3 linked regions of the Callithrix jacchus genome follow. The protein of the gene in region 2 binds, or shares a complex with, the protein of the main gene of each other region. Links are inferred from orthologs where the notes say so. Each region holds a gene or a part of one and is shown on either strand. Other genes may lie near its edges. The genes, in order: NAA38, NAA35 and NAA30.

What was found.
Region 1: the proteins of NAA35 (region 2) and NAA38 are in contact, whole or in part, in a cryo-EM structure (PDB 7MX2), measured with the Homo sapiens proteins. The link is inferred for Callithrix jacchus from reciprocal best matches to the Homo sapiens genes NAA35 and NAA38. Residues at the interface, in NP_001308810.1 of Homo sapiens: Val30, Asp31, Ile32, Thr33, Phe36, Ala39, Cys40, Leu43, Leu45, Glu47, Leu48, Leu49, His50, Asp51, Phe54, Glu58, Ala59, Ala62, Ile63, Glu64, Met65, Met66, Ala72, Gly73, Met74, Gln306, Arg307, Leu309, Pro310, Pro311; in NP_001307854.1 of Homo sapiens: Ala41, Arg42, Leu45, Glu46, Leu48, Leu49, Arg61, Phe67, Leu68, Cys69, Thr70, Asp71, Arg72, Cys74, Ile77, Arg97, Val98, Leu99, Gly100, Leu101, Ala102, Met103, Val104, Pro105, His108, Ser111, Ile112, Glu113, Val114.
Region 3: the proteins of NAA35 (region 2) and NAA30 are in contact, whole or in part, in a cryo-EM structure (PDB 7MX2), measured with the Homo sapiens proteins. The link is inferred for Callithrix jacchus from reciprocal best matches to the Homo sapiens genes NAA35 and NAA30. Residues at the interface, in NP_001308810.1 of Homo sapiens: Leu45, Gly46, Leu48, Leu56, Ala59, Met60, Ala62, Glu64, Lys69, Glu121, Phe313, Pro314, Arg315, Ala444, Leu510, Glu511, Leu512, Glu517, Pro605, Lys606, Phe607, Glu608, Leu609, Asp610, Val614, Arg615, His618, Arg619; in NP_001011713.2 of Homo sapiens: Glu221, Pro238, Ser240, Tyr242, Thr243, Arg245, Tyr246, His249, Asn250, Lys304, Ile324, Glu334, Asn335, Leu336, Gly337, Val339, Arg340, Asp341, Lys342, Arg343, Phe345, Arg346, Tyr347, Tyr348, Leu349, Leu359, Trp360, Leu361, Arg362.

The regions. Positions count from the first base shown.
Region 1 is NC_133506.1:74,348,957-74,358,242, forward strand, and holds NAA38 (N-alpha-acetyltransferase 38, NatC auxiliary subunit), read right to left. Parts: upstream 5,552-9,286; 5' UTR 5,412-5,551; coding exon of another isoform or gene 5,372-5,411; coding exon 4,963-5,371; intron 4,792-4,962; coding exon 4,679-4,791; 3' UTR 4,633-4,678; downstream 1-4,632. Other genes in the region: KDM6B (lysine-specific demethylase 6B), read left to right, coding at 1-34, 119-306, 464-605, 949-1,075, 1,161-1,472; TMEM88 (transmembrane protein 88), read left to right, coding at 3,020-3,226, 3,388-3,657; CYB5D1 (cytochrome b5 domain-containing protein 1), read left to right, coding at 6,096-6,255, 6,377-6,453, 6,586-6,804, 7,351-7,581.
Region 2 is NC_133502.1:97,178,040-97,188,885, forward strand, and holds the start of NAA35 (N-alpha-acetyltransferase 35, NatC auxiliary subunit), read right to left. Parts: upstream 6,743-10,846; 5' UTR 6,652-6,742; exon of another isoform or gene 6,052-6,651; intron 5,774-6,051; 5' UTR 5,769-5,773; coding exon 5,645-5,768; intron 1-5,644. UniProt on the Homo sapiens protein: Auxillary component of the N-terminal acetyltransferase C (NatC) complex which catalyzes acetylation of N-terminal methionine residues. N-terminal acetylation protects proteins from ubiquitination and degradation by the N-end rule pathway.
Region 3 is NC_133509.1:92,042,082-92,052,913, forward strand, and holds the start of NAA30 (N-alpha-acetyltransferase 30), read left to right. Parts: upstream 1-5,195; 5' UTR 5,196-5,314; intron 5,315-5,581; 5' UTR 5,582-5,582; coding exon 5,583-6,350; intron 6,351-10,832. UniProt on the Homo sapiens protein: Catalytic subunit of the N-terminal acetyltransferase C (NatC) complex. Catalyzes acetylation of the N-terminal methionine residues of peptides beginning with Met-Leu-Ala and Met-Leu-Gly.

The sequences.
Region 1 (9,286 bases), on a different chromosome or scaffold from region 2:
ACTACTGGGAGACCATCAGCGCCTTCTGTGACCGGTGCGTGCTGTTCCACGCGAGTCAGTCTACCGCGTCCCCGCCCTCGGTCCCCAGTTCCCACCTGACTTTGTGGCCACCTCACAGGCACGGCGTGGACTACCTGACGGGTTCCTGGTGGCCAATCCTGGATGATCTCTATGCATCCAATATCCCTGTGTACCGCTTTGTGCAGCGCCCTGGAGACCTTGTGTGGATTAATGCGGGGACTGTGCACTGGGTGCAGGCCACCGGCTGGTGCAACAACATTGCCTGGAACGTGGGGCCCCTCACCGGTGAGAGGGTGGGGCAGGTGTTGGCGGGGTGTGGGGCCTCCGCGGCAAGGGGCTGGGAGGAGGGGCTTGGAGAGCCGCCAGCAGGGAGGGAAAGGGCTTGGGCCTAGGTATCTGGGGACTGTGTGAGAGTCCTATTGTGATCGCCTCTGGCCCGCAGCCTATCAGTACCAGCTGGCCCTGGAACGATATGAGTGGAACGAGGTGAAGAACGTCAAATCCATCGTGCCCATGATTCACGTGTCATGGAACGTGGCTCGCACGGTCAAAATCAGCGACCCTGACTTGTTCAAGATGATCAAGTGAGGACCCTGTTTGAGTGGGAGCCCATCTCCACCTACCCGATCCCTGTTCTAGTTCTTCCTGTCTGACTGCGCCCCATTCTTCATCTCTCTCCATCCGAGTCTGTCTGTGCCTCAAGCGTTACTATGCTGGGAAAGCTACCTAGGTCCCTGGTCTTGACCTTTCCTAGTGGTTCAAATAGACAAAAGCCACAGGAAATCTCACTTATGACAGATGACCAGGACAGAGGATGGGACCCGGACATGAAGCGGGGAGGGCCCTGGAGCTGCCCCTCTGCCCCTGCTCTAGCCCTGCCCCAGCCCTCCCTGCCGGTGGTCTCAACACAACTCCACTGTTCCCCAGATTCTGCCTGCTTCAGTCCATGAAGCACTGTCAGGTCCAACGTGAGAGCCTGGTGCGAGCAGGGAAGAAAATCGCTTACCAGGGCCGGGTCAAGGACGAACCAGCCTACTACTGCAACGAGTGCGATGTGAGTGTGCCGGCTCTCCTGCGCCACCTGAGTGTGTCCACAGTGGTCCTCCCTCCCCTTGACTGCTCCCTCCTCCCTGCCCCAGGTGGAGGTGTTTAACATCCTGTTCGTGACAAGTGAGAACGGCAGCCGCAACACGTACTTGGTACACTGCGAGGGCTGTGCCCGGCGCCGCAGCGCGGGCCTGCAGGGCGTGGTGGTGCTGGAGCAGTACCGCACGGAGGAGCTGGCGCAGGCCTACGACGCCTTCACGCTGGTGAGGCCCCAGCGGGTGTGCGGTCAGCGGAGGAGGGCACTGGGGCAGGCTGCAGGGACGGGCTTGAGGGGCCTGGCCGGGCCTGCCCCTGAGCCACTGCCGGCTTTGTCCCCACAGGCCCCCGCCAGCACGTCTCGATGAGGCCGGACGCCCCGCCCGCCTGCCGGCCCTTGCAGGGCGCCGCGGGGCCACCAGCACATGCCTGGGCTGGACCTGGGTCCCGCCTCTGGCCGGGAAGGGGGTCGGGCCCAGCCCTTCCACCCCATTGGCAGCTCCCCTCACTTAATTTATTAAGAAAAAATTTTTTTTAGCAAATATGAGGAAAAAAGGAAAAAAAATGGGAGACGGGGGAGGGGGCTGGCAGCCCCTCACCCACCAGCCCCTCCCCTCACCGACTTTGGCCTTTTTAGCAACAGACACAAGGACCAGGCTCCGGCGGCGGCGGGGGTCACATACGGGTTCCCTCACCCTGCCAGCCGCCCGCCCGCCCGGCGCAGATGCACGCGGCTCGTGTATATGTACATAGACGTTACGGCAGCCGAGGTTTTTAATGAGATTCTTTCTATGGGCTTTACCCCTCCCCCAGAACCTCCTTTTTTATTTCCAATGCTAGCTGTGACCCCTGTACATGTCTCTTTATTCACTTGGTTATGATTTGTAATTTTTGTTCTTTTTTTGTTTTTGGTTTTTAATTTATAACAGTCCCACTCACCTCTATTTATTCATTTTTGGGAAAACCCGACCTCCCACACCCCCGAGCCATCCTGCCTGCCCCTCCGGGGACCGCCCACCGCCGGGCTCTCCCTGCGCCCCAGTATGTGTCCGGGTCCGGCCCGACCGTCTTCACCCGTCCGCCCGCGGCTCCAGCCGGGTTCTCATGGTGCTCAAACCCGCTCGCCTCCCCTATGTCCTGCACTTTCTCGGACCAGTCCCCTCACTCCTGACCCGACCCCAACCCCGCCTGAGGGTGAGCGACTCCTGTACTGTAGGGGAAGAAGTGGGAACTGAAATGGTATTTTGTAAAAAAAATAAATAAAATAAAAAAATTTAAAGGTTTTAAAGAAAGAACTATGAGGAAAAGGAACCCCGTCCTTCCCAGTCCCGGCCAACTTTAAAAACACAGACCTTCACCCCTACCCCCTTTTGTTTTTAAGTGTGAAACAACCCAGGGCCAGGGCCTCACTGGGGCAGGGACACCCCGGGGTGAGTTTCTCTGGGGCTTTATTTTCGTTTTGTTGGTGGTTTTTTGTCCACGCTGGGGCTGCGGAGGGGTGGGGGATTTACAGTCCCGCACCCTCGCACTGCACTGTCTCTCTGCCCTAGGGGCAGAGAGGTCTTCCCAACCCTACCCCTATTTTTGGTGATTTTTGTGTGAGAATATTAATATTAAAAATAAAAGCGGAAAAAAAATCCTGTTTCGCTAACGTGCTGGTTGATAGCAGGGACGTACCGGGAGGGCTGGAAAACCGTGATTGATGGGGAGGACGGCGCAGACCCTGGCAAGGGCGAGCCCCTCCCCGGAGGTGCCTGTGGAATGTCCTGGGCTCTGGTCCGCTCCTCAGGATGGGGGGTGCCTAATCCTACAGCCGCATTCCAGGATAAGGGGGGTGGGGAGAGGCTGGGCCGGGGGAGGGGCAGGAAAGAGGACTATAAGGCAGCAGCCCAGGCGGGCTGGATACAGGCAGGCCATGGCGGATGTCCCGGGGGCACAGCGAGCGGTTCCCGGCGGCCCAGAGCCCCGGGACCCCCTGGACTGCTGGGCCTGCGCTGTGCTTGTAACAGCCCAGAATCTGCTAGTGGCTGCCTTCAATCTTCTCCTGTTGGCGCTGGTGCTAGGGACCATCTTGCTACCCGCTGTCACCATGCTGGGCTTCGGCTTCCTCTGCCACTCTCAGGTGAGTGTGCGCCCTGGGGTGTGAGTGAGTGTTGGGTGTTGGTGTGTGGTGATGCTGGCGGTTGGGGTTTATGGGCCACAACTTCAACCCGCTTGGGCTGTTTCCACCCCGTGCACAGTTATGGCCCGGTCGGCTTGGGCCTGACTCCTCTTCTCCCACAGTTCCTGCGCTCCCAGGCACCCCCTTGCACCGCGCACCTGCGGGACCCCGGTTTCACGGCCCTTCTGGTCACCGGATTCCTGCTCCTCGTGCCGCTGCTAGTGCTTGCTCTGGCCAGCTACCGCCGCCTCTGCCTGCGCCTCCGCCTAGCCGATTGCCTCGTGCCCTACAGCCGAGCCCTTTACCGGCGTCGGCGCACCTCGCAGCCGAGGCAAACCCGGGCCTCACCAGGGTCCCAGGCCCTTCCCACATCAGGAAAGGTCTGGGTCTAATTATCCCCGAGTCAAGAAGAACCCTGACGGCTGCCTTCCCTCTTATTCCGCCTATGAACTGGAAGCCCCTCTTCTTCCGACCTGCCCTGCCCCCACCCCTGCCTGATCGGAGTCCTAACAACCCTTTGGGAACAGCAGCATCAGTGGACCCAATGCTGATGAAAGCCCCTACATCCCGGAAAACCCCCTTTCCCTCCATTACCCACATCTAAATCCTCAAATTCTGGGCTGGACCCTGCATACCTCCCCCTCAGCCCTTGTGTCGTGAATGGGACCACAATCTCATGCCCTCCTTTTATGGGGCAGCTCCTCCGGTATTTCTGGGGCTGGGGGCAGGGAGGTGGGGCCAGAGGGGAAGGAGTGTCCACATATCAATAAAGATTTAACGAACGTGCTCTGTGAACAGAAGAGTGGCACAAGTACGATCATTCCTGTCCTGTGCCGAGGAACAGGAAACATGTGCCAGGGCTGCAAATGCGCAGAGAGGTGCATCTTTCAGCCCCCTGGCCTTATCGCTTTTGTCCGTTCTTCCTGGCCAGACCTCAGAGATTTGTCCCTGACCCCAGGCACCTCCCCATCAATAGAGAGGAGGGGGCCCAGCCTCGGCTGCCTGCCCTGCTCCCCTTGGGGACCTGAGCCCGTTCTCTGACCCCGGCTTAGAGGAACTCGGTGTTGCCAGCCCGGGGCGGGAAACAATGGGCCTTCCGGAGCAGGATGACACCCCCTCCCGCCACAATTCTGGAGCAGCAGCGTGGGAGGGAAGATGCAGGGGCCCACCCTGGGGCGCCTGCTGGTCTGTCATTCAGCCCTGTCCCCCATCTCTACCTCTGAACCTGAGAGAAACTTTGGCACCCCTGGACAACCCGGTTGGGAGAGGAGGGCTGAGTGCTCCCGACTTCAGATGAAGCTTTTCCTCTAGGGGTGAGGTGTGCTATCCCTGCCCTGCCATCCCAGGTACACACAGACACGGGACCATTCGGTCATAAGTTTAATGAAATCTGAAAGGTGTATCCGATCGTGGTCAGAGATACGGAGGCCCGGTCAGGCTCTCCCTCTGCACCTCAATGGAAACAATGTGGTGTCCGGGTACCATGGCCAGGCCCAGCACACGGGGCTCCCCGGCAGAGAAGGAATCTAGAAAGAAGGATCAGAGCATCAGGGAAGCAGGCCACAATCAGTCCCGCCCCTCTGAGCCACGAAAACGGGTTCCAGAAAACAAGGGGTGCAGCTAGGCCCTGCAGGGGAAATGCCTTGCGTAAGGTTCCGCCACATTCCCAAGAGGGTGTGCATTCCCCGGGCACTGACCCGACGGCTTGAGGAACTCCTGCGCCGAGCCCAGGATGACATTGCAGTCGCGGTCAGTGCAGAGGAAGCAGCCAACCAGTGTCCGTCCATCTGTCATGCGAATGCGCATAGTTTTGTTGAGCAGCGCCTCTAGCTGCTGCCGGGCGCGCGCAGCCGCCGAGTCCTCGCGCTCTCCGTCCGAATCCTGCGAGGGGTGGAACGAGCGCTCAGATCGCACAATCCCGGCTGCCCGTCCGAGGAACCACAGCTCCCGGCAGCCCGCAGGGTACTCACACGAAGCCCAGAGGCTGCCGGGAGCTGCAGTTCCCCACACCCTCCATCTTGCTGCTCGACTGCCCCTCAATCCCAGAATCAAAGCCCGTGCTAACCCCGGCGCTGGAGCTGCTTTGACGCCGACTGCAACAGCCATTCTCTTCTCGTAGCAGCATGGTCGGTCCAGCTCCAGCCATTTGCCCGGAGGCCTCCTCTGGGCCTTTCAGCTTCCTAAGCACCTTTCGGGTTGGGTGGTCCGAGATCTCGCGAGCGCTCCCGATCTCTTTCCTTTCGCGAGATCACCTTTTCTCCCACTCCTAGTCTCCTCGGCAACTGCAGAGATCTCGCGAGCTTCTCCTACCTCTCTTGTGCTGTGGCTCATTGAAACGATGTCATACGCCGGATGTCTTCAGATATCGCGAGACCTTTACCTCAGTTTCTTATCCTTTAGAAACTCTGGAATTTAGGGAGAATACATTCTTTCATACTGCTTCCTCCCTTATTTTGGTGTCTCAGGGAGATAGTCTGTACTAAATATCCCACGTAACCCAGGCCACTGAATCAAAACGGAGCATGTTCGTTTTCCGCGCCTCTCCCCGACCCATCCCGGCTCCAGTTCCAGAAAGCGGCGCCACTCAATTACTTGATCTTTCTATGCCCGATGCGGAACTCACACTACGTTTCCCGTGAACACTTGCAGTCCCATCCCCGTACCGGTCTTTGAGCTCAGTGGACGGTGGCCGGGAAAGGACAATGGTTTCCATGTCAGCGGATAAACGCGCTCCCCTTGGCTCCCGGACGCGACGGAGGTCGCAGTAGTGCGTGCGTGCTGAGGAGCAAAGGAGTAACCACGGGAGCCAGTGACCGACAAAGCAAGAGCCATGCCGCGCCGGGGCCTGGTGGCTGGGCCAGATTTGGAGTATTTTCAGCGTCGCTATTTCACGCCGGCGGAGGTGGCCCAACATAACAGGCCCGAAGACCTCTGGGTGTCTTACCTGGGACGCGTGTACGACCTAACGCCATTGGCACAGGAATACAAGGGTAAGGGCCACACGTTGGGCCGGGGCCGGAGTGTTTGTTTGTGTGTGTGCGCGCGCTTGCTTCCTTGCTTGCTTGCTTGGTTCTTGAAGGGCTGGCATTGACAGTGGCTGCTCTTTCCCAGGGAACTTGCTGCTAAAACCCATCGTGGAAGTTGCGGGCCAGGACATCAGTCACTGGTTTGATCCAAAGACCGGAGACGTGAGTTCTGCTGGAATCTGGGGTTGTGAGTAGAGGCAATGGAGAGCGGGGATGGGGAGGAAAAGCGGAGGCTAGCTAGATCCTTAAACAGGATCTGGCTTCAACCCCCTTGCCCCAAACCCTCCTTTAAAGATCCGCAAGCACATAGATCCGCTGACCGGCTGCCTGAGGTATTGTACCCCGCGGGGCCGCTTTGTGCACGTTCCGCCTCAGCTGCCCTGTTCGGACTGGGCCAACGATTTTGGGAAGCCCTGGTGGCAGAGGTCGTATTATGAGGTGGGGCGGCTGTCTGCCAAGAGCCGGAGCGTCCGCATCATTAACACACTCACGTCGCAGGAGCACACACTGGAGGTGAGAACTGGTGGGGGAGGGGCAGGTTAGAGGGAACAGGAATCCTAGCAAATCTTCAAGCCGATCTTCAGGCTATCAGGTTTTCAATAACCGGTGGGAGCTATATTTTCTGTCCTTTACATTGAGGCTACTGAGGAAAGCACAGCACCTAGGTCCCCAGGGTTGGGAATTCTAGGAGTGTCTGGGTCACAAAGGGACAAGAGACTCCTTTATAAGCCCGGGGACAGCAGTTCATGCATCTCAGTGATGGTGGTCCTTCGAAGCTCTTACATGCTGTTGGACAGCATTTCAACTTTCTTATTAATCTATTGCATGGATATAGTGAGGGGACAGTTGACCCTTTATGGCCATGGGTTAGTTAGAATTGGCTGCCATTCAGATCTGTAGGGTCTTGTTCATTGCATGCTGGAGTTTCAGCTTTTTTCTTTTTCTGGGGCTGTAGAGTATCTGAAGCTGCTCTCTGCCAAGGGAGGCACTCTGATCCTAGTGTGTGTATGTATATACTCCATACAGAATTCTGGGGGTGGGTGCTTCTATGTTCTCCAGGTGGGGGTTCTGGAGTCAATATGGGAAATCCTACACCGCTATCTCCCCTATAATGCACATGCTGCCAGCTACACGTGGAAATATGAAGGGAAGAACCTGAACATGGATTTTACCCTGGAAGAGAATGGGATCCGGGATGAGGAAGAAGAATTTGACTATCTCAATATGGACAGTACACTTCACACACCTGCAATACTTCTGTACTTCAATGATGATCTCACAGAGCTGTAGGAAAGGAGACGTACACTCATGTAGACTCGAGACATATTTTGAGTTTGGCTTTTTCTGTGCCTTGAGGAAAAGGGTGGGGCCGAGGGCTGCCTGGACCTAGATATCCATTCCTCTCTAGGAACTAGCCTGTGCCCTTCTGAAGTGTAAAGGCCCTATTCCCTGCCTTCATTACATTTTTCTCTGAGATAATTAGGGAGAGTGCCAGAAGTGAATTAATCTTTGGGAATGATACAAGAAGATCAAGTGTCTTGGTTTAGGGAGATGTAGAAAATGATAGAGTTCAGGCAGAGCTGTTTGATAGTTGAGAGTAGTTCTACAAAGGTGAGAGATGGAAGAACTTTTTTGGCAATGATGGAAATGAGCTCTCTGCAGGAAGATGGGATTTATAAAAAGAGGAATAGGAAATGTTTATCATTGACCATACAAAGCTGGCTTATCTTACTTGTAGAAGAGTATTTGGCAGCTGAAACCCAAGGGAAAGAAAGGAAGTGAATCATTATCAGGCAATTCAGGCTAGATATTATGCTAGGTACTTCACATACACACACTTTTTTTTTCCCTCAAAGAGAAGGGGTCTTGCTCTGTCACCCAAGCTGGAGTGCAGTGGCAGAATCATGGCTTACTGCAGCCTCGAACTCCTGGGCATAAGTGATCCTCCCACCTCTGCCTTGAGTAGCTGGGATTACGGGCACCTGCCACAATGCCTGGTTACTTTTTTTATTTTTTGTAGACACAGGGTCTCACTCTGTTGCCCAGGCTGGTCTCAAACTCCTGGCCTCAAGTGATCCTCCTGCCTCAGGTCCCAAATAGCCTCTTCAAGAAAACAACCCCAGAAGGTGGATACCATTACTATTTTACAGATAAGTCTTTTGAAACTTATAACAGTTTAATAGCTCAAAGGCACACTAGTTAGAAACTACTAGAGCCAGGATGCAAATTCAAGTCTGCCCAACTCCAAAGTCTATGTTCTTTGATATAAAGGGACCATCTGAATGTCTAATTTCATGTTAATATTTGTAACCACTGCTCTCAGAGCAAGTATTTGGGGTGTGGCTTTGTCCTAGGCTCCTTGCACAACAGGAAACTGTGTGCCTATTGAATAGTTAGCAGTTAATGTCTCTGGAAGGGGGTTTGCAGAGTTTTCCTGTGGCAAAGAGGAGGCAAGGAAGGCTAAGTGTCAGCTAAGCAATAACTATTGGGGCTACTTCCTTGTTAATCTCATACCCCAAATTTCTCTTCTGACTTTTCTGGGGCAAAGAGTTGGGTATTTACCAAACTGAGGGAAAAATACAGTGGGGAAAAGGCTGGCAAATTAGTGGAGAGGGAGAAAAAGGAGGCAGTTTGCCACTTAGAGAAGATGAGGAAGACAGGTTGCAAGATGGTGACTCCAGAAGAGGCACCTTCACAGGGGTAATGTAAAGAGAGATGCTAAGTAAGTCAGGAGACTCTCTTGGTGACCAAAAAAGAACCACTATGGGGGTGAATGGCTAGATTTGGTCTCCTTCAACTTAAGGAGGGGAAGAGATTTGAGAATAACAGGTGAACTTCCTGGCAGCAGCAAGCAAAACAATCAAGAAGTATTTAGTGTGTCTTCCTGCCAGGGGGCACCAGGGCCTAGCACAGGAGAAGGTGGCCCCTGTGAGATATACTGGGTGAGCTGTATAGGTGTTCTCTGAGGGGCTATGAGAGGCATGAACAAAGGTGG
Region 2 (10,846 bases):
AGGTTAAATGATAGCTGAAACTTCTTGAAAGTAATCTAAATACAGTGAACATTATTGATATTGTTGCATTATTGATATTGTTTTGCCACTGTGGTCTCAAGCTCCTGACTTGAGGTGATCCACCAGCCTCAGCCTCCCAAAGTGTTGGGATTACAGGTGTCAGTCACTGAAAAGCAGCATTGATATTTTGAGGAGAATAATTATTTGTGGGGGCTGCCCTGTGTGTTGAATGGGGAGCAGTATCCTTGACATGTACTTGTTAGATGCCAGTAGCACCATCTCATATACACTGTGACAATCAAAAATGTCTTATAACGTCCCCTGAGGTGAAAAACCACCCACTCATTAGTTGAGAACCACTAATCTGAAGTGATCCATAAATGCCAGTGCTGGCCATCTCACCCATGCCCCACCACTGATAACATTCTAGATGGCATAGAGCAAGGAAAACAATTTTACAGGTTGCCTAGATTTTTTGCCAAGACCATTTCCATCCATCCATCCTTTTTCTCTTAGAACAAAGTGCTAACAAACAGTAAATTCCTAGAACAATGATTCTCAAACTGGATTCATGGATGAGAGTGTGGGAGGCAAAAAAGATGTCACTGAAAGTTTCACAAAGAATTTGTATTTTTTCCATAATTTTAGAACTATGTAATCATTTCAATGATAATCTTTTTTTAAAAATCACAGAATATTCCAGATCACCTAGATAATAACATTATAATCAAGTATCAACATAATTTCAGTTTCCATGCTTGTGGTTCACAATTATCCTGGTTACAGGCAATCCCCCAAAATGACAGCATTTAATGTACTACAGTGGTTCTCAAACTTCTGTAGTCCTAGATCGAAATATTCTTCAGTTTGAGGAAGTATGGCTTTAGAATTTTTCTACATTCCTAAAACAAATATACATATTGAGCACCTACAAATATTCTAGGTGAGGGAAGATAGAAAAGAATGGAAGAGCAATGAGAAGTTTAAGCATCCCAGGTTTTATAAGAGGCAAGACAAAGTGTAAATGAATTTTCCTAAAGTACTAAGCAGGAACTAAAGAAGATGAAAGAATCTGGAAAGCCTTAACCAACAGTGCTAGGAATAAAGACTGACTACAGAATAATGAACAAAGCCAGGGATGTCCAATCTTTTGGCTTTCCTGGGCCATAGTGGAAGAATAATTATCTTAGGCCATATATAAAATACACTAACAATAGGTGATGAGCTTTACAAAAAAAAAGAAAAGAAAAAATCTCGTAACATTTTAAGAAAGTTTACAAATTTGTGTTGGGCTACATTCAAAGCCATGCTGGGCCACAAGCAGCCCTTGGGCAGTGGGTTGGACAAGCTTAAACTAGGCCATCAAAGAGAGAAGAAAATGGAATGAGAGGATGGGCCCATATCCTCCTAGCCTAAAACATAAAAAGAACGGAAGTCAGCATGGCAGGTTTTGGATTACTTCTGGGCTCCAGATACTACTGGTGCCATCATCCTAGGAGAGAATGCTGCTAATCATAGTGTGGGAGAAGGGAATCTGGTGGGCAGCAGAAGGAGCAGTATATGTTACATGATCATTTATGTTTAAGTGAAATTTCTAAGTTCTGAGTTTACAATTCAGAAAGCATCTAAATATGGAAAACCAAATGGAATATGAAGATCAGAGACTTTTTGCAGGTAGAAAATGAGATGGTTTAAATTAGGAAAGGTTTCCTAGAGAAGGAAAGCCTAGAAGCTCCAAGGAAAGCCTAGACGTTTCCTAGTGAAGGAAAGCTTCACTTTGGGAAGCTGAGGTAAGAAGATTCCACACTTTGGGAAGCTGAGGTAAGATCCCTTGAGACCAGGAGTTCGAGACCAACCTACATAACGTAACGTCTCTACAAAAAATAATCTAAAAAAGCCAGGCATACCACATGCCTGTATTGTCAGCTACTCAGGAGGCTAAGGTGAGAGGATTGCTTGAACCCAGGAGGTCAAGGCTATAGTGAGCTATGGTCATAGCACTGCATGCACTTCAGCCTGGGTGACAGAGTGAAACCTTAACTCTAAAAAGAAAAAAAAAAAAATTATAAATTTTTTTTTAAAAAAAGAAAGCCTAGAGTATTACTTAAAATAATTACATATCTCCTATCAGGCAAAACAATAGTAATGGTGAAATTACAAATAATTCAGAAAAGAAAAAATAAGAGCCTGAAGAGTAGTTATAGGGAATGTGTGCTACCTGCCTAGTAGGAAATAAAAGAAATCATGAAAGGTAAAGGTTTGTATTTGATTCAGGACTTTGAAGAGCCACTAAAAGAATACGTACAAAAGTAGATGAAAAACAACTTCGCCATCAATATGCAGACTATTTTATGGTACTAAAAAAATCACCAGAGTCTAGCCAAATGCCATTACACTTGCACCAAAGAGGAGAGATTCCTGCAAGTTAAAAGAATGTAATCATATCTGTCTTAAATTTACTTTTCAGAAAGCCACTAGAACAGAAGCCTACTAAACCATAATCAAGACTACAAATCTGATTATTTCAAGAAAGGAAAACAAATACCAAAGGATCAAGAACTGCCAACAGTCATTAGTCCTAAATCTGTACATGAAGATTAATTCTATATCAATTTTTCTTTAGTTCCAAGAAAGATACCTCACATTTTTGCCACTTGACACAGTGCAAGAGCTAATTATCGAAGAGTTAATAGGATGGCATGATGTTGGCCACAAAATGGCATGCCACCCCCTCTCTATCCACAGTGGAGCACAGATTAAACTTCATCTCCCACTCAAAGTTCCTTCACAAAGAAATAAGTCTAATTTATGATATAAGTCGAAGGCAAGTCAAAACGTCTCTCCCACCAGTATTCTAAACTGCTTTCTTGGGTTCAATTTTTCTTATAATCAAAAACAAGTAGAGAATATACATATGAAAGCAAGCGGTATGACTAAAATTAAGAGGACCTCTAAAGTCATATTTCATTGAGACTAAATTCTGCAGACCTGTGGTTTTCAAATTGTGGTACACAACAACCCTGGGTGAACATCATGTCCCAGGGGATTCAAAGACAGGATTAAACTTTGTACAGCTGCCTAATCTCAAATTAATGTGATGATGTGAGAAGCAAAAGACCTTTAACATAAATGAAATGTGTTTCCCTCAAACAACAAACATGTTGTAAAATGCAAACTTTTCCATGAATTTCTAAGATAAAACAGGAAATTATAAAGATATCATGTAGCTATGAACAAGATATTTTGAACTCCATCCATAAGATTTAGGAAGGAGAGGTTTAGAAGTAGTATATGTGTTCACTCTCCTCTGCTGTCACCAAGGGAAAAGTTTAAGTAACACATCATCTCTCATGTTTCTTTCACCTCTCCAGCAACATGAATTTATTTGTTCTCATATGTAACCCTTCTAGTCCATTCTCTCAAGTCCTAGTCCAAGGCCTTAACACCCCAACCTGGGCTGAGTGCAAAACCTTGTCTAAGGTTACAGGCTCTTTTCATCCTAATTCATAATTATGCTGGTAGATAAACCTTCTATGTTTTCAACTCTAAACAAATACCTTGAGTAAAAACAGTTACCATCATTGAATGCTACTATAGATCCAGTACTTTGTATTCACTATCTCATTTAATCCCCAAAATTCTCTAAAGTAGAAGCTCTGCTTTCCAGAGTAGAAAACTAAGACTCAGATTAATTAAACTTCAAGGAAACTAAACCAACGACAGAGATGGGACTCCAGCCCATACCTGACTATAAAGCTCACTACGTTACTGAGAAGCTACTACAGAGTAGCTTCTACAGGGTCCAAGCCATTGTACTGATCATCAAGGGGAATACACTTTCAATCTTATGCTCAAAACCATTAACAAACTCCTACTGCCTATAAAACAAGCTCAAACTAAAAAAACACAAAAAACAAAAACCACACACACACCAATGGCACTAAAGACCCTCTATAATTCCCAGCACTGAAAATTGTTCTGTAGCCAAGCAAAATTATTTATTGTTCTCCTAACATAAAATCCTCACTGAACTCTGACTCATACAGTTCATCGCAGTCTAGAATCACTCTATTACCTACCCTTACAAAAACCTGCTCTCTCCTTAAGGCCCAAACCAAGCCAAATATCCTTCAAAAACCTTCCCTATTTAGGTTCATAATGACAGCCCCCTAATAGAGATTACTTAAAATCAGTGCAAGATGACAAGTATAATCCATTCAATAGTCTAAGGTCTCTGAACACAAAAACTACACTGTAACTCGACACTTCTCTCTTCCTTAGATAGACATACATGGGCAGGCACCCAACCCCTAGTCTCATGTTCTTTCCACTGTCTCACTGAGGCAATAAAAAGTGATTGAACTGGACATGCATTTCAAAACAAAGGATGACACATGATTTATCATTTTGCTTATACTTAGCTGGTTCCCTTTCCACCTGCAGCTGTCTCAAGTCTTTACTCCTCCCCTTCAGAGCACTATTCAAACACCCCAACCAAGCTGTTTAAGACAATTGAAGCCATCAGGTGTGAATTCCTTCACCAGTCCTCCTCTGTCACTTAGAAATATACCTTTACAGTCATCCTAACTTTAGTCCTTCTTGTCTCAGTGTGTCCCTATGCTTTTCCCCAAGTTAATTTCTCTACCATGTCCTTCATCTCATCCTCTCTTTAACGTTCAAGCTCTTATTCTAGTATTTGTTTCTTTCTCTTGTTCTTCAGTCTCTCCCTAGGCTCCTTCCCTTCAACCAACCAACATGTTCATTTCTCCGATCATTTACTCCTATTTATTGAATTTACCATGTGCCAAGAACTGTTCTGTGTACTAGGGTTACAGAAATGACCTCTGCCCCATGGAGCTTATATTCCAGTGAGTGAGACTGAAAATAAACAAGAAATAATTGAAAATTATGGCTTGTGAAAAAAAAAGATAAGCTGTATGAAGAAAAACAAAAGTGACTGAACTGAAGCAGAACTGCAGAGGAGAGAACAAGTGGTTGTTTTGAGGTCCTCACCAGGGAGGTAACACTTACGAATTGTGTGAAAGCAAGGGGCAAAACAATTTAAAAGAGAGAAAACAAAAAATGCTAACACCTGGGAGAACCACCTTGGTTGTATCATGAAGAAATTAAAAAAAAAAAAAAAAAAAAAAAAGACCTGTGACTGGAATGTAATAAGCCTGGTGGGGGCAGTGGCACATAAATGAAACCTGAGTAGCAGGCAGGGACCAGATTTTATAGACCATGGGGAAGGAGTTTGGATTTTATTCTATCTGCAACAGGAAGCCACTGGAGGATCTTAAATAAGAAATGATGTGATCTGATCATTCTGAAACCTCAAATATACAAAAATACTACCATCTTTTAGATTAACAAAGTATTTTCTCTAGTTAGAAATTACTATGTACTCTCTAACTTGTTCAAGAAAAATTCAATTTTAAAAAACTGCCTCAACATCTGTATTTAATGCTATATCAAATATACACTTGCTTTAAAATTAGATACAGGAAAAAGTGTGGCTAACAAACTCAATAAACCACACTTACCTGTTGATTTCATCTAATGAGGTAAGTTTAGAAAGCACAATCGTCATTTTATTTTTACCCCTCCCAGATACTGAACGTCTTAATACAAAAATCAGACTCACCTCGACAAGCTTCTTCAAATTCTTGGGTAATGTCCACCCAGTTTGTACTGCTTTTTTCCATTTTTTCTGGCATACTGAGCTCCCATCCTGAATCATCATCATCTACAGAAGCTTTCATAACCATTATGTCTGTAAAATTAATACTGATGTAAGAGAGAGGATGTAGCTTTCAGGACAAGAGTATTTGCAGAAATGTGTGTTTGTTTCAGAATGGGATGAGTCTTACTAAACTCTTTAAGCAGAACTCTTCTGAGTCTAAAGACAAGTACTGCAAAGAATAACCTTAATGCAATCAAATCCCACGTCAATTAACACTCCTGCTGCTTATTTACTATCAGCCCACCACCTACCAGGGCCTATAAACTTTGCCTTTCTATTTAAGAGGAAAAAATCACAAACCATCTCACCACTGGCCCGAAAAGAACTCTAGAGCTTCCAACTTTCACTACTAGCTAGCCACAAATGACCAAGGCACTATTCAAAGTCCCTTCTCGCAGCCCAGGATCCCATGCAGCAACTACTGAAGTCAATGAAGGTAGCCCGTCACCTGGCCAGGAGCTCTCTGGGACCTCTTCCGGCCCGGCCCGGACCCGGGCACAGCCTCGTCGGGCAGAATGAGGAACAGGCACGCACCGCAGGGTCCTACCGGCCGGGCCTAGGACGGAAGCACACCTGAGGCGGGCACCCGCTTCCCTTCTGCCCCGCCCGTGTCAGCCCGGCCCAGCCCCGGTCCCACTGGGCGCGGAGGCAAGGACAGGGCTGTCGCCGCGCGGGAGGGCGCTCACGTCCGGTGCCGGGTCGTCGCCTTGGTAACACCGGGCAAGGCCGGGCCTCGGCCCACAGCAGGCACCTGGGAGCCCGCAGCTCCTACCTGACGTGCAGCGGGAGGGCCGGGGCCGCAGGGTGACCTGGGGTCCCCTGGGTCCGCCACACGCCCAGGGGGCTGCGGCTTTCGGACACACGAGAGAGAGGGTCTCAACGTCTCCGCAGGGGCGGTCCCTACCTACTTCTCCCGTGGTTACCCGCGCCGCCACGCACCGTCCGGACCACGGAAATAACGACGCCGCCTCTGCCGCCGCCGCCCCCTCCCCTCAGCCCAGCCCGATAGGCAGTGTATGCGCATGCGTACACCCTGGGCGCGCGACCCCGCCCCCTCCCCCTTACTCCCGGGGACTTTGCGCTCCCCGGCCACACCCCCTCCCTCGCCAACGCCTCCGTTCTGCCGATGGCGGCCGCCTTCTCTTCTCGCGAGATTAGAGACGATCGTGAGACCGGAAGTCACCTTCTTTTTCCCACCCTCAGTCGAAGTCCAGGGTAGTGGACGGTTCCTGGAAAGAGGCGGAGCCTGGAGCCTCAGAGCCCGCCCTTTCTGAGCTGCCCTCTGGGAATTTCTTAGAAAGGTGCCGCGAAGACTGAGGGAAACTGTAGAAGTGCGCATAGACCTTAGTGGTTGCGAGTACGAAGGAGCAGCCAAGCTGCCAGCAACGTGCTACTGCTGCCTGACAACGGATTTATGTACCTATACAGCGCCTGGGAATTTCCTGAAGGAACATAGAAACAAAATATCTGCAAAGTCAAGCCAGACATTTAATTTCAGATTCTCACGTTTTTGATTTTTTTAAAAGTTATTAATAAAATTATCAGTTTTAAAATGGGGTTACATAAATAGACTGGCACAGGTAAGAAGCACATCTTTATCACCACCTGTTCTTTAGAATGGCCCCAAATTAAAAGATAATACCAAATGTTATCAAGGATGCAGAGCAACTGGACCTCTGCTATGTGGGTGGTGGTAATGCAAAATGGTACAACCACTTTGGAAAACTTAGTCTTTTATTACAATGATATACTTGTTGTATGATCCAGTAATTGCCTAAAAATTTACCTAGGAACAAAAACATATATTCATACAGAGGATTGTGCAATAATGTTCATACCAGCTTTGTTTTCTTTTGTTTTTATTTCTGTTTGAGACGGAGTGTCACTCTTGTTGCCCATACTGGAGTGCAGTGACATGATCTTGGCTCACCGCAACCTCCAACTTTCAGGTTCAAGCAATTCTCATGCCTCAGCCTCCTGAGTAGCTGGAATTACAGGTATATGCCACTACACCAGGCTGTTTTTTGTATTTTTAGTAGAGACCAGGTTTCACCATGTTAGCCAGGCTAGACTCGAACCCCTGACCTTGGCCTCCCAAAGTGCCAGGATTACAGGCGTGAGCCACCGCATCTGGCCCAGCTTTTTTTTTAATCAAAAACTAGAAACAACCCAAATGTCCATCAGCTGTTGAATAAATAACTTGTGGCATATCTATACAATGAAAATAATTATCAAGAGGGATCAACTACTTGACATGCAACATGAATTAATTTAAAAAATATATTGAGTAAAAGAAATCAGGCAAAGCACAGTGCCTCATACCTGTAATCCCAGCACTTTGGGAGGCTGGCTGGTGGAGACATTGGGTTGTAGACCAGCCTGACCAACATGGTGAAATCCTGTGTTAGAGACAGAATGCTTCTTCCTAGGTACCACAAGGAAAAATTAGCATTCAGACAAAAAGCTATCTCAGCAAGGCAATTTTACTTTCTGCAGAAAGGGTGCTCCCATCAGCCATCTTGCCATGAGAGTACAATGAACAAAGGAAAGGCAGGCATATTTATTTCTTACACATTGGGTCCTTATTGCTGTGTCTGATCTCCATTGGTTGGAGCCAGACCTCACAATCTAAACTGAACCCGATTGGCTAACAACTTTAAACTTTTCTAAATAAGTAAAAGCAATGGAGAACAAAGGAAAAGAGGAAATCTAAATAAGGAAGGGGCATAGACTGTGAGCTGGGATATGCCTGTGAGCATGTCCAGCACAGATATCTTGGTTAAAGTACAAGGACATAGAATGTACTATGTGCCTATAAGCATGTCTAATAACTACATAGGATAGGGCTTAACAAAGAGTTGTTAGTAAAAAGCAAAACACTTTGAAGTTAGTTTTTAAAACAAACTATTATTTTTAACATTTATTTTTATTATTATTTAACAAGAAGGGAAACTTTAAAGAGGAACTTTTTACTTTCTACATCCTGTCTTTACTAAAAATGCAAAAAAAAAAAAATAGCTGGGCATGGTGGTGTGCACCTGTAATCCCAACTGTTTGGGAGGCTGAGGCAGGAGAATCACTTGAACTTGGAAAACGTAGGTTACAATGAGTCAAGATCATGCCATTGCAACTCTAACCTGGGCAACAGAGCAAGACTCTGTCTCAAAAAAAAAAAAAAAAAAAAAAAAGAAAGAAAGAAAAAAGGAAAGAAATCAAATGCAAAAGAGTATGATTCCCCAAGTGAGACCCCAAACTCTTAAAAGACATCTATAGTGACAGAAAACAGATTAGTGGCTGCTCAGAGCTCAAGAAGAGACTAACTTGGATAGAACTGGATTTGAAGTGATGTAAATAGTCTGTTTTTTTATTAAGGTAGTGCCCGTGTGGGTGAATACATTCGTAAAATTTCATTGAAGTTTGCACTTACAATATGTACATTTTATTGTTTGTAAATTGAACCTCAATAAATTTGGTTTAAAAAATAAAAAATGCTTATCTCTCTTACAGAATAATGTATTTCCCAAGGGCAGAAGGTTTGCCGGTTTAATGGAAGCTGTGTTCCCAGGACTTAGCGCAGTGATCGAACAGCTCGGTGTTGGCACCCTTAACAGCCAGCAACCCACGCTGCTTGGCATCTGCGATGGTGGCCTCCAGGAAAGCTCTCTGGCCTTTGAGGCCCTCGATCTCAGCCTGGAGCCAGCTGATGTTAATGTTCATCTTGGATATGTCAGTCTTTGTACCCCACGGGTCATCCCCATGCTTCCCAGCCACCATCTGTAGCTCCTCATACTTGATCTGGTACATGCTCTCAGCCTTAGCCCAGCTGCGGTTGGCGATCTCCTCGTACTGCGCCTTGACCTCAGCAATGATACTGTCCATGTCCAAGGAGTGGCTGTTGTCCATGGACAGCACCACAGACGTGTCTGAGATCTGGGACTGCAGCTTCTGGGTCTCCTGTTCATACAGCTGCCTGAGGAAGTGGATCTTGTCAGTCAGCCCTTTCAGGCGAGACCCCAGCTCTACCTTGTTCATGTAATCTACCTTGTTCATGTAAGCTTCATCCACATCCTTCTTGATGAGGACAAATTCATTCTCCATCTCTGTACGCTTATTGATCTCATCCTCATACTTGTTCTTGAAGTCCTCCACCAGTCCCTGCATATTGCCGAGCTCCGCCTCCAGCTTCAGCTTCTCCTGGCCCAGAGTCTCCAGCTGCTGCCTAAGGTTTTTGATGTAGCTCTCAAACATGTTGTCCATGTTGCTCCGAGCCATCTGCTGCTGCTGCAGGAGGTTCCACTTGGTCTCCAGCATCTTGTTCTGTTTCTCCAGGAACAGTACCTTGTCAATGAAGGAAGCAAACTTGTTGTTGAGGGTCTTGATCTGCTCCTTCTCCTGGGTACACACAGCTTGGATGTTGGGGTCCACCTTCAGGTTAAGGGGGCTCAGCAGGCTCTGGTTGACCATGATGGTGGTGATGACTCCCATGCTGCTGGCCCCACCATAGCCTCCGCCCAGGCCACCCCAGAAGCTGCCGCTGCCCACTAGGGAGAAGCTTGAGGACCTGATTGGGGCACCGGGCCCACTTGTGTAGGAGCGGCTGCTGAAGGCCTGGAGGCCAGAGGTGGACACCTTGTAGGACTTCTGGGTCACCCTGATGGACATGGTGGAGGCAGGCGGGCTGAATCAGGTGGAGATTCCAGGAGGAGTGGAGAAGCTTCTTCTTGAATTCAAAAGTTTTTATAAGAAACTCCTCTCATCTCTGTAATAGATTGAGTAACTTCTCTTATTAGTAAAGCTGTTTCTGCAATGTCCTTTATCTTACGCAGCTGTGGCTATGTCTCTAGGCAAGCACAAAGCATCGCTTCTCTTGTTTGTATAACTGTGGGTTTGTTTTAGGTAAGCCCCCCCGCCACCACTCCCTTTGCAGGTTCCCACCATGTATATGCCTGAAAAGGGAAGGAAACTTTTCCCTGGGAGCTTGCTATTTATATAACAAACAAAAGGCTTCTGTGCTGGACCCTGTCTGCTTATCTGTCTGCATGTGCAGCCTGAGTTTTTTTTCTAGGTTGTTTTATTTTTGCCTGTTGCTGTGACTTTTCAGGC
Region 3 (10,832 bases), on a different chromosome or scaffold from region 2:
TTACGGTTGCATTTCGAGGCTGACAGTTTTGTAAACACATTAAAATAAGGAACATATCAAAATGTATTAGGAACAGAGAACTACACAGCCCAGTAAGCACTGGGACACTATCCTATTCTTAGCATATTATTTTTGTCCTTTCTAAGCCTAGTTTTTAAATGTCTTGTTTCTATATTTTCTCACTCAGAGACAAAGTAATGAAATAAACATTTTGTTTCACATACTTGTGTTTTAATGCAATATTCAGGCAAAGTTTACAAAATCATTTCCCTTTCCTGGACTGGCTTCACAGAATCAGTCCCCACAATGATGGAAAATGTCCTTTCACTACAACACGTGATGCAGGATGTAGTGAGCTAAAGCTGAAATAATTCAGCCAACCATGTGTATGTAGACTGTGGTATTGTTACTGAACGCATTGTCTCAAAGTGTTCATTTTAATAATAAAAAAATGCATTTGGGGCCAGGCATGGTGGCTTATGCCTGTAATCCAAGCAAGCACTTTGGGAGGCCAAGGCTGGCCAACATGGTGAAACTTCCTCTCTGTCAAAAATATAAAAAATTAGCCAGGTGTAGTGGCGCATGCCTGTGATCCCAGCTACTCAGGAGGCTGAGGTGGGAGGATCACCTGAGCCTGGGAGGTAAAGATTGCAGTGAGCTGAGATTGTGCTACAGAACTCTAGCCTGGGTGACAGGGCAAAACCCTGTCTCAAATACTACTACTACTAAAAAGCATCTGTGATTATTTTAAGTAAAATAATCTTAAGACCCAAGTATATCACATATGTAATGAGAAGTTCTATGTAAGTAAATTTAGTTAAAGGTATATACGCCAAGAGTGATATCTACAATCTGAAAAGGTATAGAACAAGATCAATATTTTATTCATGCATTCAAAATAATGTATTATGTATATACGAATAAAAAGAGGATTAAGATGTAATTCCTACCAGAAGAAGCAACAGACAAGCAACAATCATAGAAGTCTGCAGCACTCACAGAGTAGGGAGAAACCAGTTTTGCAAGAGGTGGGGAGGTGTGTGTATGTGAGACAGAAGAGATGGGAGGGGAAGGGAGGGAAGGGGAGGGGACCTCTGCTCTTTAAAATAGCCAATCAGGATTAGTCTAGCTTGTGCAGTCTAACCTTAGCCAATAGGGAATGACACAGCCCTTAGGGACAACCCCCGTCAGCCATAAGTACCCCTTCCCCACTTGTTGAAGCATGCAGCCACCATTGCTCCATCCCTATGCCACACCTTTCTATAGAAGTAAACTGCCTTGTGAGAGGATTTATCTGAGTGCTATTTCTTTTGCTGCATTGAAATTTTACTAATAACACAGATTTTGAAGAGTTAATGTGAGGTTGAAAGTAATGAAAATGGGGACCATTTGATCATAACCCTCTCTGGTTCTTCATAGTTCTCTGAGGCCTCAGTTCTACAAACAAAATTGATGCCTACCTACAATTGGGACTGCCATCCACTATTTGCAAGGGGAAAGAAGGTTGAAGAACAGGCTGTCATTCCCCAAATTCTACAGGAAGAATCAAATTGTTTGCCCTTTATCTGGGCATCTCAGAGTGTTCCAAGATTACAGGTAATAAAACAATATACTAATATTCATCCTTTGGTTAAATTCTTTAGCTCTCAAATTTGATGTATGTTCTTTCTTTCATTCAGGATGAAACAAAGCTAAGGACATTCATTTGCAGGGCTTATGTATCATAGATAGGATTAGTGGGATTAAGAACCACATGACGTAAAATAAAACTACACAAATACTTAAATTATTTAGTAGGTGTGCCTATGGCACATAACAATGTCATCCTACTGTGTCAAGGGAACTTAAAGCATATTTCCATTATTCATTCCCACAGTTACCTTTCAAGTAGGTACACAGTTAGGTTTTTTTCTCTAAACCTTGCCAATAAGAGAAAAATGCCTTACTGTTAGAAAGTATTAAAAAGAAATGTTTCTTCTTCCAAGCTGATTTCAAGAATTTGCTTTAGGATGTTGTTTTAAAATGGTTGTTAGTTATTTTTATTGAGTGGGAAGTTTTTTTTTCTTCTAAAATATTAAGGTATGTCCTCTTCTTCCTCAAAAGAGAAAAATAGTAAAAAAAAAAAAAAAAAAAAGATGGTTGCTTCATAGGATATTACAAAACAATGAAAATATCAACTACCCACACAGAAGAGTATCACTGGTACACTTACCTTGCTCTGAGCCCTTTCTTTCCTATGAAGTTATTGCTCATGGAGGTGGTTGTTTTTTCAGAGTCTCAGAATAGCAAATGTGTCTAAAGCATTAGAGTGAAATAATCCTATTTCTATGCCTGCAATAATGCTATCATCCTATCAAGTAAATATGAATAAAATAGAAAACATTTCATAACTTATAAAGACAAATTTCTTAGAGAAGTCATCTGATTTAGAAGGCCAACATTGAAATTTTAATACCAGCATATAAAGAAAAATCACTGGGACTGAGACATTCGAATCAGCCCACTAGTTATTGGGGAGATCAGAATTTACTTTGTCATTGTAAGCATTCTGGAGTACAAATGAGAGAAGAGAGCAATTCAAAAAGTTTAACAAGTTCCCTTTTATGTGTTAGATAGGTGAATACTAAGGAACAGTTACTCCCTGACCTCAAGAAGGTACTTGTAACTCTTGACTTTCTAAAAACAACTTTGAGACATCTGGTCAGCTCCCCAGTCTGAGTGAGCTCATCGCCAAGTTGCAACACAGGAAGAACAGGAAGACCTGCTGCCATTCCCTCACTACCATAGAGTCACACATGTTTTTTAGGAAGGTCTTACATTTCAAAGTGAATGACTGAGAGACGTTTTTCTAAGTAAAAATCACCCTTAAACATTTCTTATAGAATTATCTGGGGCCTCTTGGGCCAGTTTTTCCACCATGATTTGAACAGATCATTGTTTCATTAGCTGACCACCCAGCTTGCATTTAGAAACTCTGAAAAAAATGTATCTTTAAACAAGGTATCACATTTGGAAATATGGTTTTGTTTTGTGCTTTTAAAAAAAAGCCGTGCATGGTGGCTCAAGCCTGTAATCCAGCACTTTGGGAGACTTAGGCAGGCGGATCACAAGGTCAGGAGTTCAAGACCAGCCTGACCAACATGGTAAAAACCCATCTCTACTAAAAACACAAAAATTAGTCAGGTGTGGTGGCGAACAGCTGTAATCCCAGCTACTCAGGGGGCTGAGGCAGGAGAGTTGCTTAAACTCCGGAGGCGGAGGTTGCAGTGAGCTGAGATCGTGCCACTGCACTCCCGCCTGGGCAACAGAGCGAGACTCCATTATATATTCTGAAATGGCCACAGCAATATTTCTGGTCCCACATGTTCTTTGAGAACATTGCCTCTCCGCACCAAGAGGTAGAGTCTATTTCCCTTCCCTTGAAACTGGATATAATTTTGTGTCTGCCTAGATAAAATGCAGCAGAAGTAACACTACATAACTTGTTTTTTATTTTGTTGTTTTTTTGAGAAGGAGTCTCCCTGTATTGCCCAGACTGGAGTACAGTCGGGCAATCTTGGCTTATTGCAACCTCTCTCCTGGGTTCATTGATTCTCCTGCCTCAGTCTCCTGAGTAGCTAGGACTACAGGTGTGAGCTACCACGCTCGGCTAATTTTTGTATTTTTTGGTAGAGATGAGGTTTCACTGTGTTGGCCAGGCTGGTCTCGAACTCCTGGTCTCAAGTGATCCTCCCGCCCTGGCCTCCCACAATTCTGGGATTACAGGCATGAGCCACCCCACCTGGCTTGAGATTACATGACTACTAAGGCTAGATCATAAAGGGCAATATGCTTCTGGTTCACTTTCTCACACGATACTTGTCGTTGGAACTCAGCCACCGGGCTGTGATGAAGTCCAAAACAATCAGTGCTAAAAGACCACCTGGAGAGGTCTACATGGACTAGAACTTAGGCTTCCAGCCTTTTGCCTGCATCAACCACCAGTAGTAAGAGTGAAGTTTTCATATAATTTTCCTCAGCCTTGGAGTCTTCCAATTGAAGCACTATGCATAATGGTGTAGAGAAAAGCCATCCCAGATGTGCTCTGTCTGGGTTTCAGAGCCACAGAATCTGTGAACCAAATAGTTATTTTATACATACAGAGTTTAGACTATGGCAAAAAGTTGCAAACACGTTCCGTCATATAATTATATGCTGAAAATGTCCATCTGCGGCACACCAGACCAACTGTATAAATCAGGTTTTTAAAAAACCTAATTTGCTCAGTGTGCGGGTGCGTTGCACTACCTGTCTCAGCTCAGACCTGCTGAGTCAATTGTGGACTAGAGCAGGAACTCAGCCACAACCTCAAGTTCTATCCCCTTTGCACTCGCTAGGCAGATCACTTGGGAGGAAGGAGCAGGCCACCTGTTTACCAGTCCTTCCCAACCTATTCGTGTCTCAAGTTTAGGAATGTGCTTCTTAGCCCTGGTCACTCTTTCACCATCTCGCTCTAACCCTTCCCCAGGTGTGCTCGCAATTGCCCAACACTTGTTAGTCACATTTGCCTCCAATTTTACTAGGCGCGAGGAGCAGAGGAAGAAGGGGGAAGCGGGCTGACTCCCCTGCCTTAAAGTGGCAAGGGCCAGCTGAACTTAATTCACACTACAAACCCACGTTTCGACAGTCATCCTCGCATTTTCACAGCTTCCTTTCCTTTCGGATCTGTTTCCCTGATTTGCTCCATTTTTAACCGCTTCTCCCCCACCCTCCTTGTCCCTAGTTGGGGCAAACATTAAACGCTGTTTAGCTCTAATAGGTATTTTTAGGTAACTTGTAAATGGCTGGTTCCACAGGCCCCGAACTGGCGAGATTCGCCGCAGCTCCGAGTGGGCGGTGGACTTGAAGCAGGGAGCGCCTGCCGGGTCCATCCCTCCCCGGCCCCGCGTGGCAAGTACCGCGGGTTGAGGAGCCCCAAAGCCGAGAAGGGTTTGGGAGCCTGTGACTCCAAAGCCCTCTGCAACTTCCCGGCACCACAGCCCCACCCACTAGCACGCGGCCTTCCCCAGAGATCGCAGGAAACACCTCCGTCCCCGCCCCTCCACAGGTCACCTCCCTCCACGCCCCTCTCCCTTGGTCTGGGCAGCCGGCAGGCAGGGAAGTGTCGTAAAGCCAGGCCCAGGAAACTTTACCCGGGGTAACAACCGAGGCGCTTTACGGCGACGGCGGCTGAGCGAGAGCCTTGGCGGCTGTGGAGGCGGCCGCGGCGACGTAGGAGGCGGCGGCGGTGGCTAAGGAAGAGGAGTGGTGGCAGCGGCCGCGGGACCGGTGCGGGGTGAGCCGCGAGGAGGGGACGGGGAGGGGCCGCGGGTGACAGGGCTGGCGGGTGGGCCCGGGCGGACGGGGACGGTGGCCGGCTGAGCAGCTGGGCGGCGCTGAAGAGCCGGGGGGGGGGCGGCGCGGAATTGGGGGGGCAGCTCCGTGAGGGACGGTTTCTGCCTTTGTTCCCCCCACCGCGGCCGCCCCCCACTCGCCGCCCCCTTTTCTCCGCGCTTGTCGGCCGGGTTTCATGGCCTCTCCTCTCGGTCTGTGTCGCTTCTAGGATGGCGGAGGTACCGCCTGGGCCTAGCAGCCTCCTCCCACCACCAGCACCTCCGGCCCCGGCGGCGGCCGAACCCCGCTGTCCCTTCCCGGCCGGGGCCGCCCTTGCTTGCTGCAGCGAGGACGAGGAGGACGACGAGGAACACGAAGGCGGCGGCGGCAGGAGCCCGGCGGGTGGCGAGGCGGCGACGGCAGCGACCAAGGGGCATCCGTGCCTCCGCTGCCCTCAGCCGCCGCAGGAGCAGCAGCAGCTCAACGGATTGATTAGCCCCGAACTGCGGCACCTCCGGGCGGCCGCCTCCCTCAAGAGCAAGGTCCTGAGCGTAGCCGAGGTGGCCGCCACCACGGCCACCCCTGACGGAGGCCCCAGAACGACTGCAACAAAAGGAGCCGGGGTACTCTCGGGCGAGAGGCCCCCTCATTTCCTCCCTAATAACGCAAGAACTGCGGTCCCCAGCCCGGCGGAGGCAGCGGCGGCGAGCGATCCCGCGGCGGCCCGCAATGGACTGGCCGAGGGCACCGAGCAGGAGGAGGAGGACGACGAGCAGGTGCGGCTTCTGTCTTCGTCCCTGACCGCCGGCTGCAGCTTAAGAAGCCCTTCGGGCAGGGAGGTTGAGCCTGGGGAGGATCGGACGATACGATACGTCCGATATGAATCCGAGCTACAAATGCCCGATATCATGAGACTGATCACCAAAGATCTGTCCGAACCCTACTCCATTTATACCTATAGATATTTTATCCACAACTGGCCACAGCTGTGCTTCTTGGTAAGTGGATAGAATGAAAAGAGGGTGAACCCAGCAGTGATCTAGACCGGGTGTGAGGCCGGGAGTGAGGGCCGAGAGTGTGGCAGTGGATATCTCCTGCTGCACATATCATGGTACATTATATGACGTCAAGTGCGTGTACACATTCCTAATTATTTAATGAAACTGTTTTGAAGGTAAGACTTCATGATTTGGGTTAACGTGATAGTACTGTAACTGCAGCAAGCCTGTATGTTGGCTTCTTCCACTGGGGTGGGGGTCTTGTTTACATTAGATTATAATCGTGTTTAACTGTCTTTAATTACCCGCCCTCATCCTCAGACACTTTACAGTCATTTAATTTGAACATGGTTCTATTCGGATACAGGCCTTATTAGTCTCTGAATTAGAACCGTAATCAGGGAAGAGTATATGCATAAAACATGTTTTGGTGAACATGAATGTCAGCGAACTTGGTGTGGCCATATTGGAGAATTAAATCTTACAAGCATTTTCAGTAATTATGGAGATTGTTTCCTTTTACTTCAACGGGACAGTTAACAGTTGTAGCCAGCCTGCTTTCTGGTACTCCATTGCAGAAAGCGCTACTAACACTTCTGGTGGTTGAAAGACTCCTGAAACTTGAACAAAATACCCTTTTGTGGAATGTGGAAAACTGAAGTGTGAAATTGTTACCAATGTGATTTTTTTTCTTTTTTTTTTTTTTGATTTAAGAAACTGTAGATGTGGTTAAACACTAGTAACACTGGCTTGTGTAGAGTATAATTGACAATTATACTTAAGTGAAAGACTTTTGGACAGACAGTTTTAAAAAATTTACATAGTATTGGCAGTACCAGTAATTTCTTCAAAATAATATTAACCAACTTCAGTCTTTATGAATACTTTAACTCAAATGTTGATTGCAGGTGTATGCTTTGTATCATGTGCTTACAACCATATTGTTTCTGTTGAATGTTACTAAAAAGATGACATGCTTTTAAGGAATATTTTATATGTGAAGGGAAAAGCCACCATTACTTAATATTTTAGCATTGGCTTAGTTCCACTTAGTAATTCCCTGCAAGATATTTTGACAATACTTAATTGTTTTTTTGATTCTCTACCTTGGTAGTAATTTGAAAATATAACCTGGTATCCTAGATAATGGTAGTTCTATTTTCTGTTTTAATTTTGCTTAAACTTGAGTACATTTGTTTAAACTGTGGGTACTATTTTATATTCTTGAAAACTGCTCTTTCAGAATTCTAAGCATCATATCAGAATAGTTCTAAGACGTCTATATCAATAAATAGGAGAATGATTTATAGCACTATTATAAATGTCATATCAGATGCCACTGTAATTGCTGAAAATTGTAGATTTAATGGTAAGTTAAACCACAGAAGTAGATGATTGAGTCACGTTTTAAATTGAAGTAGATATTTTTCTGTCCATTCCAGGAACTGGTTGTATATATGATATTTAGCGAGCTTTTTAGTCCTGATATTTACCTAGGCCTCTCTCAGCTTGTCTGCCATTTTAGACTCTCGTCAATGATATTAGTAAACTTTAGTTTTTATTTTATGTAAAACCCCCCAATTCACCAGCTGTGTGTATGTTAGCTTTTAGTAGCTTAAGTTTGTTTAATATTAAATTCCGAATATCAAGAAATTAAGACATGCACAAGTGGTTGACCTGTAAGATTTACTGGTGCAAGTATGAGTCAGGAGGTATTAAACAATAACAAAACAGTAGTTAAAAAACAATCAGACCATTTAGAACTGAAGCCTTTGTCTTGGCATACTTTTAAATTTAAGTCTAACATAGAAACTATTTTTTAAAAAATACAAATGCGTAAATGTGTATGTTTATTTTAAACCATATCATTTTAGAACTGAAAGGGATCCTAGAGATAATCTAGCCTAACTTAAGTTTTGTTTTGATTGAAAAAAAATTAAGGACCAAAGTGACTTAAAATGTTTAAATCTCCAGATATTTACTGACAGGGGTAAAGGTAGAACCCAGCTCTTCTGGCCTCTCATTATGGTAACAAATAACCTGAAAAATGACATACCCTTGATCCATTCAGTGAAGATTATGTCACAAAGTTATCTTCACAAAGGGCAGTTGCCCTTACAAACATCAATCTCAGTAGATTAGAAACCTCCAAGTTTTCTATGGATAACCTGCAATGGGTCAGTGGAATATATGGGATTGAACCTTACAAAATTGCCAATACTTGACTGACTAACAAAAATGACAGCTTATTATGATTCTTCCTAATTGTAAAATACATATTTTTAAAAGTACAATACAAATGTAAGACACTTTCAGTTACTCTGTAACCACTTTATCTTTACCTCTTTTCATAGTAATTTTTTCAGTTGATACCTTTTTGAAGTTCTTAAACTTACTGTCAACAATGTAACATAGTACTTGCCTTTATTTGCTCTAAATTTAACTTTTTGGCTTCCTCCAGTTTTCTATTTGTAGTGTTCTAGAATTTGGGAATCTCTCACTTTATGTTTTTCATAGTTTATAGACTGACAACCCTTTAGCCCTGTAGTGTTGTCTTAATTTTGACAGGGAGTTTTCAGTTCCCATCCTTGAAAAAACACATTTACTAGCATGAATTCTAAATGTATGTGCAGAGCTTTTATTTGGAAAAATTGACAAGCAATTTAAAGATTCTTGTACCATATATTCATGAGTAGTTTATCAGGAAAAAAAAATACAGCATTGGTCTTCTTCTCTACCAATATCATAATGGTGTATGATATATTGGACTTTTTAGATAATGTATATAGCTTGATTTTTGCTCCTACAGATTCTGAATTGGGAAGACATCAGGTCTTAAGAATGAACTAATACAGTATTTTGTTTTCTTATTACATGCTCAGAGGACAAAGATTTGTTTGAAATTCCTGTTCAGATTGAAAATACTGTCCAGTTGTATTGCGTTTAATGGTTTTAATTTTTCCTCATTTGCAGGTGGTGTGGCTGTTCTATAGTTTATATCATATAAGGTGTGGCTGTTCTATAGTTTATATCATCGGTCTAATATAGGTTTTCATTTCACATAAGCCTAGTTTATGAGGTCAGGCCAGATTTTTCCTGGCCCTTTTAAATATGCCATTTGGTCTGTGATTATTTTATGTATGTATATATATTTATATATATCTGTATACACACATATATATTTGAAGTGAGTCATTGTCAAATCAAAAAGCTTTCAGAGTTGTTTAAGGCAATATTTGTGAATACTTTAGGTATTTAAACAATTTTTCAAAAAGATTGATGTGAGGGAAAAAAATAGAAATAACAATTTCAAAGGTTTTATTGACCCAAAATAGTTTTGGAATGTGTGATAAACCAGAAATGAATTAGTGTGGGTTGTTGAATTTCATATTCCTTCAAAAGGATTTTTCCGACCTAGTTTAGGTTTGCATGAAATAGATTAGAATTATCTTGCCTAAAAGATTTCTTCACAGTTAAAAGAAGGCTTTTTAATCAATTTACAGAATGACAGACTAAAAAAATCATAACAAATTTATGTTAAAATATGTATTAAGTATAAATTGGACATTACTTATTAATCTTTTAACTCATTTCTGCTTTTTGTTGTTGAAATAGTTCTGGAAAGTTAATTTATAGAAATCTTCCTACTGACACATTATTTAAACAGTTGGAGGTTTTGCCCTATTTATATTTACCAGAAATACCCTGTTACTAGAACTTTTTTTTTAATCAGCATTGGAATTTTGAAAAACATTTTCAATGGTAACACTAGAAATCTTATGAAAATGGGGGCTGATTAGGTTTTTAACATGTAGCTTTTAATACTCTGGAAAGCTGTACATTTTTGTTAAAGTTCTATAAAATCGAAGCTTTTAACATAAACCTTTGATTTTGAACTATACATATTCTGAGAGCTCTATGACAGTTATCCACACTGTCAGGAGTATCCTAAAAATGAGATCATGGTATGTTTAGGTATATTAGCAGAAAGCTCTTAGGTATGATCTAAGCATTACCTTATAAACAGTGCTTTTTCTGAAAATTTTTAATTTTTCTGATCAAAATCTACCATTCAGGTGTAAATATGTATTATATCCAGCTTTCACTAAAACATTAAATTTATTTTTATTTTTCTCTTTTATTGAGATGGGGTCTCATTCTCTCACCTAGGCTGGAGTGCAGTGGCCTGATCTCAGCTCACTGTAGCTTCTGCCTCCCTGGCTCAAGCCATCCTCCTATTTCAGGAACTACAGGTGCACGCCACCACTCTGGCTAATTTTCATATTTTTGGTGGAGACAGGGTTTTGCCATGTTGCCCAGGCTGGTCTCAAAGCCCTGAGCTCAAGCAGTCTGCCCACCTCAGCCTCCCAAAATGCTGGGATTATAGGTATGAGCCACCATGCCTGGCCATTATTATTAAATTTAACTGAATATGTTTGAATTTATATTCTGCTGATAGGCAAGTTTTACAGTGTTTTATGT